Linked DNA regions of Drosophila melanogaster. The protein of the gene in region 1 interacts with the protein of each later gene in a pairwise test. Each region holds a gene or a part of one and is shown on either strand. Other genes may lie near its edges.

Region 1 (5,046 bases):
GTTCAACGTGTCGTTGCCCAGACACCCAGCATCGAGTAGGTCTATATAGGGTAGCACCACCTCAATGTCCGCATCCAGAACAATGCGCTCGATAAAGTCGATATGGCCCATTACATCGGTGTACATACCGAAACCTCTGCAATCTTCGGTGCCAGTGCTGACGATTCCCAACTGCGTTGCTCGCTTGATGCCATCGAACAACATATGTATGTACAAGGGTCCACCGGAGTCCCTTTTGCAGGTATCTCTGCCTACCGCGGTGCCGGCACAGAACATTGGGTAATCAAAAGTGTACCAAAATGCTGCCTCGCACATTTTCCTATCTATTCTGTAGATCTTGACCATTTGAAGATTGTTACTCATCTTCCCATTGCCCGTTACGCCCCAGCCGATTGCTGTGAACTCCTGGATGAGATCCGTTTGCGGCTTGAGTTGGTCGTTCAGTAAAATACATAACGGTTTGATTTGTGGCTTGTAAACGATACTTTTTTGCAACCTAAGAAGCGCTATGTCATTGCGATAGTTTTGTATCGCGAAGGAATCGTGGATGTAGACCCTCTCCACGTTGTATATCTCGTGGGGATGATTGTGTTCACCCGTCGCCAGTAGATGGTACACACCCAAGGTAACTGTGCTGCAAATCACATATAATTATTCAATTATATTATATTATTTATTAATTTAAGGTGCTTACAGCTGAGTGTACTTTACAATGCATTCCTCATCGGTGCACATACAATGAGCGGCCGTCAAGACGAATTTGTTAGTAATTACCGATCCTCCGCAGATAAATTCGTCATTGGTTTTTATGAGGGCCATCCACGGATTCTTCAGTTCCCCCGCATCCACTCCACCTACAATCTTCGGTATTAATTGCATCGGAACTCCACAATCCTCGTCCAAAAGGCGGGCCGATCCTCGTCCCGCCGTCAGCATCCAAGCGAATAAAACAACCCAAGCTCTGCACATTTCCAGTGAAAACCTTCAAACACACTGAAAGTGAGCTGCTGTGCGTCGTGAATTTGAAGAAAAGCTTATCAGCTATGAGAATGCTGTTTCTATTAATATTTTTACTCTTATCAGAAAGAGCGGGATTTTACCAAAATGTTTTTAGCGCTAAATAACTTGACCTTTTTGAACAACTGAAAAATTAAGAATTTTAGATCCAAATTTTCAGAAAAATGGATATTTTTCTTAAAACCAGAATATAATTTATGGCAAGCTACTTCTTAATTCCTGGAATTTAAAACACATTTAAAACTAATACGCTCGATTAGCAATAAAAAAAACATTAAAGCTCTTAACAGTATTTTCATTTATTTAAAAATCACAAATAACACTGTGCCTTACGGTCACACCATCAGAAGATACCGTTACGCTACGGTACTAAAATACCTACTAAGAATACCAATGCGGTGCTGTTAGGCGCCTTCCAGTGCTGTAGACCGCAACTGTGTCATGTGATAGAGACCAGCTGACCCGTACATTTTCCAGAGTTAGGTTTTAATTTCGCTGTCCACATCGCTCGTAAGAAAAAATTAGAAAAAACCAATCGAAATGGCTCTGCACTCGGCAATCAAGGGAAAACTGATCAGCGTTATCGGCGACGAGGACACCTGTGTGGGCTTTCTGCTCGGCGGAGTGGGCGAGATCAACAAGAATCGCCATCCCAACTTTATGGTGGTCGACAAAAATACGGCCGTCAGCGAACTGGAGGACTGTTTCAAGCGTTTCCTTAAGCGGGACGATATCGACATCATTCTAATCAACCAGAACTGCGCCGAGCTTATTCGTCATGTGATCGATGCCCATACGTCGCCCGTGCCCGCTGTTTTGGAGATTCCCTCCAAGGACCATCCGTACGACGCCAGCAAGGACTCCATTCTGCGTCGCGCCCGCGGCATGTTCAATCCGGAGGATCTGGTGCGCTAATTCCTCGAATTCTGCTCGAGGACACTGTTTCGTATTGCTGCAACCGCCAGAGAATTGCTTTACACCCTGTAAACAACTATCCATAGATTCAGTGCTTCGCCTTTGTTCTTATCGTGTATTTAAAGACATTTATTAAATGGTTTTCGTTGTATAAATAGATTAAAATCAAATTGTTCCAAATCAAATACTGGAAGTCTGATATCTGGAGGTTTTCCATTGAAAGGTCTTTCCAGCTATGTCAAGTAACAGTCTTCCAGCAAAGATACAGTGCGCATTCGATAGGTCAAAAATATATTAAGCCACTAAATTGGTGTTCATCCTTACAACTCTCATTTGCAGATTTGTAAGAAATCTAATTTTTGGCAATGGCATTGGTTATTTATTTATCAATTTGTTGCCAGAATAATTTTTTTTACCAGTAGATAAGAAACTTGATTAACAGTATGCCCCGCATAAATGTGGTATCTAGAATTTTCATTAAAATAAATTAGCTATTAAATTTTGAAATTAGATTAGCTGTGTTAAATGTTCCATACATTTTCAATGAGTTTGGTGTTGCTGATTTTAAGGCTAAAGGAATATCTTGTATAAATTTACCAGATAACAAGTTCAGCGTGCTGTTAAGTCTGTTATCAGCTATTCCAAGGGCTGTTAGCGCAATCAGCTGTTGTAGAGCGGAGTATTTTCTAGCTGGCAACGTAAACATAAAATATATCTTTCTGAGAACCTGGCCACAAGTTGATCGATCGTCATTAGTCATCTTACCGCTGCACGCACACCATGCTAAAGGCCGTTATCCTGATCGGCGGTCCCCAGAAGGGCACCCGCTTTCGCCCCCTTTCGCTTGACACGCCCAAGCCGCTCTTTCCATTGGCCGGTCGTCCTCTAATCGCCCATCATATTGAGGCCTGCGCCCAGCTGCCCGATATACGCGAGATCCTGATCATCGGCTATTATCCGCAGACCCAAATGGAGGGATTCGTGGGCGACATGCAGGCCCTGTACAGCAGCAGCAACATCAACATCAGGTGGGAAGAGGGGCTTTGGAAGAACTTGAATCTTAAGTTCCAAGTTGACCTACCCTTTATCATAGGTACCTTCAGGAGTTCACTGCCTTGGGCACTGCAGGCGGAATGTACCATTTCCGGGATCAGATTAGAGCTGGTAACCCCCGAGCCTTCTTCGTATTGAACGGAGATGTTTGCGCTGATTTTCCGCTGCAAGAACTGTGCGACTTTCACGAGAAGCGCCCGGCGAGTGCTCTGGTTACTATCATGTCCACGGAGGCGACACGTCAGCAATCCTTGCACTACGGCTGTCTGGTTTTCGATCGGAGTAGCGGAGCCGTTTCGCATTATGTAGAAAAGCCTAGCTCCTATGTGTCCACATTTATCAACTGTGGGGTGTATGTCTGTTCCATGGATATATTCACGGTGTTGGCACAGATTTTTCATTCGAGAGGTCAGGAGTACAGCTGCCAGGCATTTTGCAATGGAAACGGAAATGGAAATGGACGAGAGCAGGGGCACATCAAGTGGGAACAGGAGGTGCTTACGCCCCTGGCTGGAACCGATAAACTCTTTGCCATGCCAGTGCCTAACTGGTGGTCCCAACTGAAGACTGCTGGGTCGGCAATCTACGCAAATCGTCATTATCTTGGCCTGTACAAGAAAACGCATCCCGAGAGATTGGCCAATGTGGGGATCAAGCGCGGAGAAGGGGACGGCAGCTTGATCTGCACAGTGCATCCGGACGTCTATGTGCATCCCAGTGCCACTGTCCATCACAGCGCAGTGGTTGGTCTAGATCAAACTTATTTTTTAGAGTGCTTCTAACAAAAAGGTCCTGTTCCAGCTGGGACCCAATGTGGCGATTGGACCTGGAGTGACAATTGGACCAGGTGTGCGCATTCGCGAATCGATTGTTTTGGAGCAGGCACAGATCCTGGACCATACGCTCGTGCTGCACTCTATTGTGGGCAGGGGCTCCACCATTGGAGCTTGGGCTCGAGTCGAGGGCACACCTAGTGATCCCGATCCCAACAAACCCTTTGCCAAAATGGAGAACCCACCGCTTTTCAACAACGAGGGCAAGCTAAACCCCTCGATAACCATACTGGGTAGGTGTTTTGAATTGAGTGATGACATTCTTGAATCCTAATTTTCAATTTCAGGCTGTTTCGTGCAGGTGCCCGCCGAGAAAATCCTGCTGAACAGCATTGTACTGCCGCACAAGGAGCTCAGTCGCAGCTTCAAAAACGAGATCATCTTGTGAGAATGATTTTATTTTTTATCTTCGCTCTGTGTCCCTATCAGTATGTCATTTTATATGTTTATATTGTGCTATATTCTGAAAAACTCCCTATTAAATGTGTCTTATCCTCTGCAGCCAATTTTACTACGTCTTTGACCCGGTAAGGTAAACTACTCGGCACTCGTGCTTTTATGATTGAAAGATGGATATGTGATAGTTGGGAAACAATTTTTTTTCGAATACCTTTACGTATTAAACTTTTTACGGCGGTATTACTTTCTTATAAATGTGGTCGAGGGATGCAGTTTTCTGCATTTGTGTGCTTTTTATAAGGAATTGAATTAGGTATATCCGTTACTCGTACAGTATATTCTCGCTCGCACTCCCACTAGCGTATCTTTCAGATCAAAAACATGTAGTAGTTATTGGTATATTTGTTATAAAAAATCGAGGCAATTAAGAATACCAGCATTCATATTGTTTATTTTTTTTAAAGGAAGCTAACTATTGTTCGAGTAAATTATTTATCTTGCACCTTTAAAAGGGGAGTTTACATTCCGATATCGATAAGTGCAAGTAGTTGGGGGTCGTGACACGGTTGCTCCTCAAAAAAGCGGCCCACGCACACCAATACCTGTGCGCTCCCGATGATTTTCCCACTCTCTCTCTCGCTCCCGCTCTTATTCGTTTTGACCAAAACGCGTTTACGTTGCTCGGTTGTCAGCCAGTTAGTCGCCGTCGCCTGTTGCTTTTGATCTGTGCATATCCACCGCTTCTAAAACAGTGAAATTTACTACTTAGTATACTTACCAAATAATGGCCACTAGCTGGAAATGATGATTCTGGCCAAAAGGTAAGGTA
Region 2 (5,762 bases), on another chromosome or scaffold:
GTATAGGAGTTGCATATAAGAGTTCGATGCAAACTACTCTCCCGCAATTTTTATTGATCTAAAATAAAGAGAGAAAAATGTTCTCATTGCAAATTGTGTGCTTTAAAACGACGCTCACAACAAGTGGCTTTAAGAGGATAAAAGAGCACGACGGGCGTAACGTTTTTGAAAATAAAGTGCGCGACCAGAGCCCGAGAAATCGGGAACTATAGAAGCTAAAAAGTTGAGATTAAACAAACCAACGATAACGCTTACACTTTGAAAGAAATATTTTTTTTTGGGTTCAATATTTAATTTATTTGGATATGCAAACAAAATTGGAACACACCTTAAAAAAAATCCTTGCCAATTTCTATCGCTACCCATCAAAGTTGTAAATTTTTCTCCCAGCACTTCTGCATGTATGTATGTATGTATGTGCTTTCCCCCGGCTTGAATATTTGCCCAAAAACAGCAACTTATCAGCACACGACCGCCATTGGCCTGAAAACACCTAGTCTTATCAGGATCGAACTTAGGGGAAGGAGGGAAGTCCACTCGCATTAAAATAAAAAATTGTTTTGGGATCGGAAATAATTTACCTACATAAAGCCATATTACTTTAATGCACTATCAGCTATGAGTCACACAAATCAAAGTAATTAGAAAATATTTGATTACCTCACAATTTCCCAACACCTTCCCATGGTATACAAAAATAATAGTAAATACAATAATAAACATAAAAAAAATATACAGAATTGTGATTTTTGTTGATTTCAGTCAGAAGACCGCAACGCAGTGAAGAAGACATTTGCGTATTTTTCTTTCGAAATTTCTGTGCACACAAACGACGCATTCAAAGTGTAAACACCAAACATATCATTGCAATCCATTAGTTTAAAGCCTTTGATTACAAATATACCAATTATTTTAAATGGGATAAAACCAGTTTTAATGGCATAAATTCTTTAAAATATATGTCTATATACATATCATTGAAACATGCACAGTTGTATATACTTTACATATATGTAGTACAATATACTTGCTTTAGTATGTCCTTTTACTCTACGATTAAGGGGTTTAAATACTTTTATTATTCTTCTGTCTGGTTTTAAATATCCATTCTATAAATTCTATAAAAAAATAGGTAATTTTGCGCTGAGCTAAAAATTATAACTCCAGGTAGTCGGGGAACAGAAGAGTGAAAGGTAGGGGACGATGTGTCAATTGCATATCCAGGTAGACATAATAAAGCCCGATAGTTAGGAAAAAAAAGCAACGGAAATTCGGGGGAATCAGAAAAAATATGAGATTTCCATTTCGGTGCAGATGTGCATACGAAAATTTTGACCGATAACAACACATGATCCTTACACTAAAAGTAGTTCAACATTATTAAGGTAGATACATTTTTTAAATTAAAGTTATCAATAAATAAAAGCCCTTTAACTAGGACTTGTACTAGCAAAATATTAATATTTTTATTAATTTCAGCAAACGTTTATTTTAACAATTGATAATTAAATTGGTAGTATCGTACCACACACAAATTTATAATTGACTTTTTAGCACACTCACCTTTGCGTTTTCTCACAATCTAACGATACAAGCATTTGCACATATCAGCACAATGACAAAACGGCAATTGTTAAAAATCCAATAAATAAAAATTCGTTCACTTTAGATCACGACTCGAAGAACCACAATTACAGCACGCGAAAAAATCTCCAGTTCGCTGTTGGAAGACAGCAGTTTTACTATTCTGGTGAACCGATCGTCACAGGAGCGATGACTTGAATATTCTGAGGGAATTCCGGAGGGACAGTTTGTTTCGACTGAACAAACATTTTCTTTTTATTTTATTTGTATATTCGGAATTCGAGTGAATAATTCAGTTCAAATTCAGATTTGGTAATTGAAACATTATGTCTTGACAAGACTTTAAATACACTACCAAAATTATCACTTGTAATGGGGCTGGTGAGTGGTAATTTTAACCACAAAAAATATTAAAATCCTAGCAAGTATTTTTGGATTTTTTTTATAGAAAGACACCAGAGAAAGCCTATATGGCGTTTAACAACTCATTTTCAAATGCTTTATTTCAATCGTAGATCGTGCGGGTTAAAACCATGGTCATTGTATTCAGGTATGATATGATATGAGCACTAAAATATATATTTCTTTTAAAAAAGTTGTTGAACATAAAGAAGTCTTAACAAAGTGAAAACTAGTCACGATCGCAACACGAACATAAATAGCTAAACTTGCCACTAGCCGCCAGATCACAAATCTTCCCGCATTAAGGAGTTAAAAAACAACCTAAGTAGAAAAAAAAACCAAATTGGTCTGGCTTATAGGTATTCATAAAATTTTATAAATACATATAAATGCACATATGCTACTCAACAACATAAAAATCGACTCTCTTGCCCACTATCTCTCTTCTTAATGTTTTTATTGTATTTTTTTTTGGGATATTTACTTTCGATTATTTGCTAAATTAATTCTTAGCACCAACAATAATTTTACCATCATTTTTATTATCGGTTTATTAAAATTTATATATTTTAAGATTAATCGTTCATATAAAAAAATTCAGAGCCCGTCAAGCCCTCCCTACAAAGGCTCTGGAATAAGTCTAGTGTCTTTGCTCCCTCTCTGTCAAATCACCTAAAAAGAAGCTGGCAAAAACTCCAGACAAAAAGACATCACGAAATTGTTTTTCTGTATACTACAAGTGTATACGAATATGTTCTTAAATCGTTGTTTCCAAAATTAAAAATGTATGTATATATTGATGGTCAATTACCTGTATTTCGAGTAAAAGTTCCTGCTTCTTGCGTCGCAGCTCAATCAGCAGTTTTTGCTGCTCCGGTGTAAGTTCTGCAAGAACGAGATGCGAATCAATAATAAATTCATATACTTGTTTCTGGGCATTTTGTAAATTGTATCGCAACACCAACAGTAAAAATAAAAAACACCAGAGCAGCATTCCAGGCACACGCGCCCAACACACATACACACGTGCATACACGAGCTGTTTGCGATGCGATGAAAGCATCTTGTAGGCTACGTCACTAGCTTAGGCCGATAAACAATTTTCACTTGTCGAAACCACAATGGATTGCTAATTGTGCAAATTGGCTTATTAGCGTTACCAAAGCTCTTCGGACTTAATTCTGACGAAGGCCAAAAACGAGAACGCAATGTACATATGTACATAATATACATACATATGTGCACTAACATTTCACCTAGCACACAAGTCTATACATACAAATGTTGCTTGTTGCTTCTCTTATTTTGTAGTTGTGGGTATCCCAATTTGTGATCTTAATAAAATTTTATCAATACAAAGATTCGTATTCTGTTCATGCTAGGCTATATCCTTCGGGCCAGCAAAAGTATCTGCTGTTTACCTGGCATTGAGAATTCACTGCGCCCCTTTGATATGGCACCGTACGATCTGTTGTCGAAATTGTCCATTGCGCTAATCATCGCGGAGCTACTGAGCTACTACACACACTCTCGCGCACACGACACACACTCTAGTTGTACATTTTTCACCAGCAGTTGGCTAATTTTTAAGGCTTTTCATTGAACAATCAAAGACGAACGGATAATAAACAAATCAACACCAAAAAAATTCTATCGCCATTTTCTTTCAGCTCTCCACTAGGGATGTGCTGAATTCAGCTATCGGTTGAGTAAACAACTGAAAAATAACAAGTGCATGCTGACTTAAGCTGGGTGTTACGCGAGCTCTGTGTGGCCACTTTTAAAATATCCTGATGCCACTGCATCTTGTAACCAAACGTAAGAACTTTTTAATCAGTAGAACTAAAAAAATTAGGGCTAATTATTTACTTGCAACAATACATTAAATATTTTTAGGGGTACACTTTTTCAGAGATTAGAGCAGACCTTATCTATTTCAAGACAAATAGCTTGAAAAGCTGTAAAACAACTTTGTTACATCCATTATGGTGTGATTTGCGGGAATCGGCTATTACCATTTCGAAAATTGTTTGTTACAAGTTAAAAACATAAACTTAAAGTTTTGGACGTACATAAAAATATAACATTAAAACAACCTTGTTATAAAAAAATACAATACCACCAATACTTACTGTCCATTTTAAATCTGTTAAAAAATTCACTGAACGAATACGTCTTTCGTCATAACTCCATTTAAAATATCGTCAGGAAATTTACACATCATTTCGTTTTTTTAACGGCACAAACACCTCGGACTTGGTGGCAACGCTGCCAACATATGTGTGCACTGGCATCGATAATTTTTACATCCCTATTTTGAACCGCAGAATTCTAGAAAATTCCACTCGCTGGCCATAGTAATTGTCCGAATTAGTTTAAGCTAAGACTGCCGGATCAAAAGTAAACCAACATCTTCCATCTTTTCATAAAATTGAAGACAGTTTCATACAATTCTACAGTAAGAAAGCGATGGCCAAGTGGGGAGAAGGAGATCCGCGCTGGATTGTGGAGGAGCGGCCCGACGCCACCAACGTGAACAACTGGCACTGGACGGAAAAGAACGCCACGCCATGGTCCAAGGACCGCCTGCATCAGCTTTTTCAGGATTTCAAAATAGGCGAGTATATAAGAATTTGTAGTAGTGTAGAACATACATTTTAGGTATATCCTAACCTAAAAGTAAACTTCTCAAAACGCAGGGCAAAGCGACATTGAGTGTGCCGTGGACTCCGTGGACAAATGCTCCGGGGAGGCCACCGTGAACAATCGCAAGGGCAAGCTCATATTTTTCTACGAGTGGGAGCTGGTGCTCAAGTGGTCTGGAAAGCTCCTAAAGAACAGCAAGCTGATCCACAAGGGCAAGTTAACCATTCCCAATCTCTCCGAGGAGAACGAACTAGCCGACGTAGAGATCACGGTGACAATCGACGAGTCCAACGACGAGTCGGAGACCCTGAAACAGTTCATGTACAACGTGGGACGAGACCGCGTGCGGCAGCAACTGGCTTCCTACATCCGAGAGTTGAAGGAGGAGTACTCCAAGAACCTTATCCTACCAAAGAAGGGCGACGAGGCCGGAGCGGGAAATACTGTGGCGAATTTTAAGGATGCCAACAATACCCGTAATGCAGCCCAAAATATCGCTTTAAACTCCTCGGTGGCGGCTCCTAGGCTGAAGAACTCTGGCATCGGCTGTAAACTGGACGTTCGCACTCTCTCGATGACCGAAGAATTTCACTGCAGCGCCAATGACCTTTACAACGCTCTCACAAAGCCAGAAATGGTCACTGCCTTTACGAGGGCACCTGCCAAAGTAGATGCCGTGCGCGGTGGAGAGTAAGTTTTTGTCCCTGGTCGTTTTATTTTACCATCACATCAGGACCGTTTGTGTCGTCATTTAGTAATCTTGTTATGAATAACCATAAATTTCGCCCCTCGCCCTTGTCTTCACTTCTTTATGGTAAGTAATCTTTTGTCTTTTATTGTAGATTTATTCTTTACGGAGGCAATGTGCTCGGAAAATTCGAAGAGCTCGTCCCTGAAAAAAAAATACAGCAGAGCTGGCGTCTGAAAAACTGGACATCTGGTCACTACTCAAACGTTGTCATAGAGCTGGAAGAAACTGTAAGTTACTAGGACAACGAAAACTAGATATATTATTATTTATTTTTTTAAATTGACCCGCTTAGTGATCCTGATTAACAATATACGATATAATTTTCAAAGAATGTAGTACTCCTTATCAGTCAATAAATAACGCGTATAAGACCATATTC

The links.
Region 2: the proteins of Gmppa (region 1) and step interact in a two-hybrid assay, tested with the Drosophila melanogaster proteins (one large-scale study listed by BioGRID).

Annotation. Positions count from the first base shown.
Region 1 is NT_033778.4:15,676,494-15,681,539, reverse strand, and holds Gmppa (GDP-mannose pyrophosphorylase A), read left to right. Parts: upstream 1-2,583; 5' UTR 2,584-2,712; coding exon 2,713-2,960; intron 2,961-3,025; coding exon 3,026-3,728; intron 3,729-3,786; coding exon 3,787-4,051; intron 4,052-4,105; coding exon 4,106-4,206; 3' UTR 4,207-4,322; downstream 4,323-5,046. Other genes in the region: CG30091 (uncharacterized protein), read right to left, coding at 1-634, 695-969; Vha14-1 (vacuolar H[+] ATPase 14kD subunit 1), read left to right, coding at 1,558-1,932. UniProt on the Drosophila melanogaster protein: Regulatory subunit of the GMPPA-GMPPB mannose-1-phosphate guanylyltransferase complex; reduces the catalytic activity of GMPPB when part of the complex. Mediates allosteric feedback inhibition of GMPPB catalytic activity upon binding GDP-alpha-D-mannose.
Region 2 is NT_033779.5:21,753,757-21,759,518, forward strand, and holds the start of step (steppke), read right to left. Parts: upstream 3,711-5,762; 5' UTR 3,487-3,710; coding exon of another isoform or gene 3,408-3,486; intron 2,872-3,407; coding exon of another isoform or gene 2,798-2,871; intron 59-2,797; 5' UTR 1-58. Other genes in the region: CG1416 (uncharacterized protein), read left to right, coding at 4,456-4,603, 4,686-5,322, 5,475-5,610.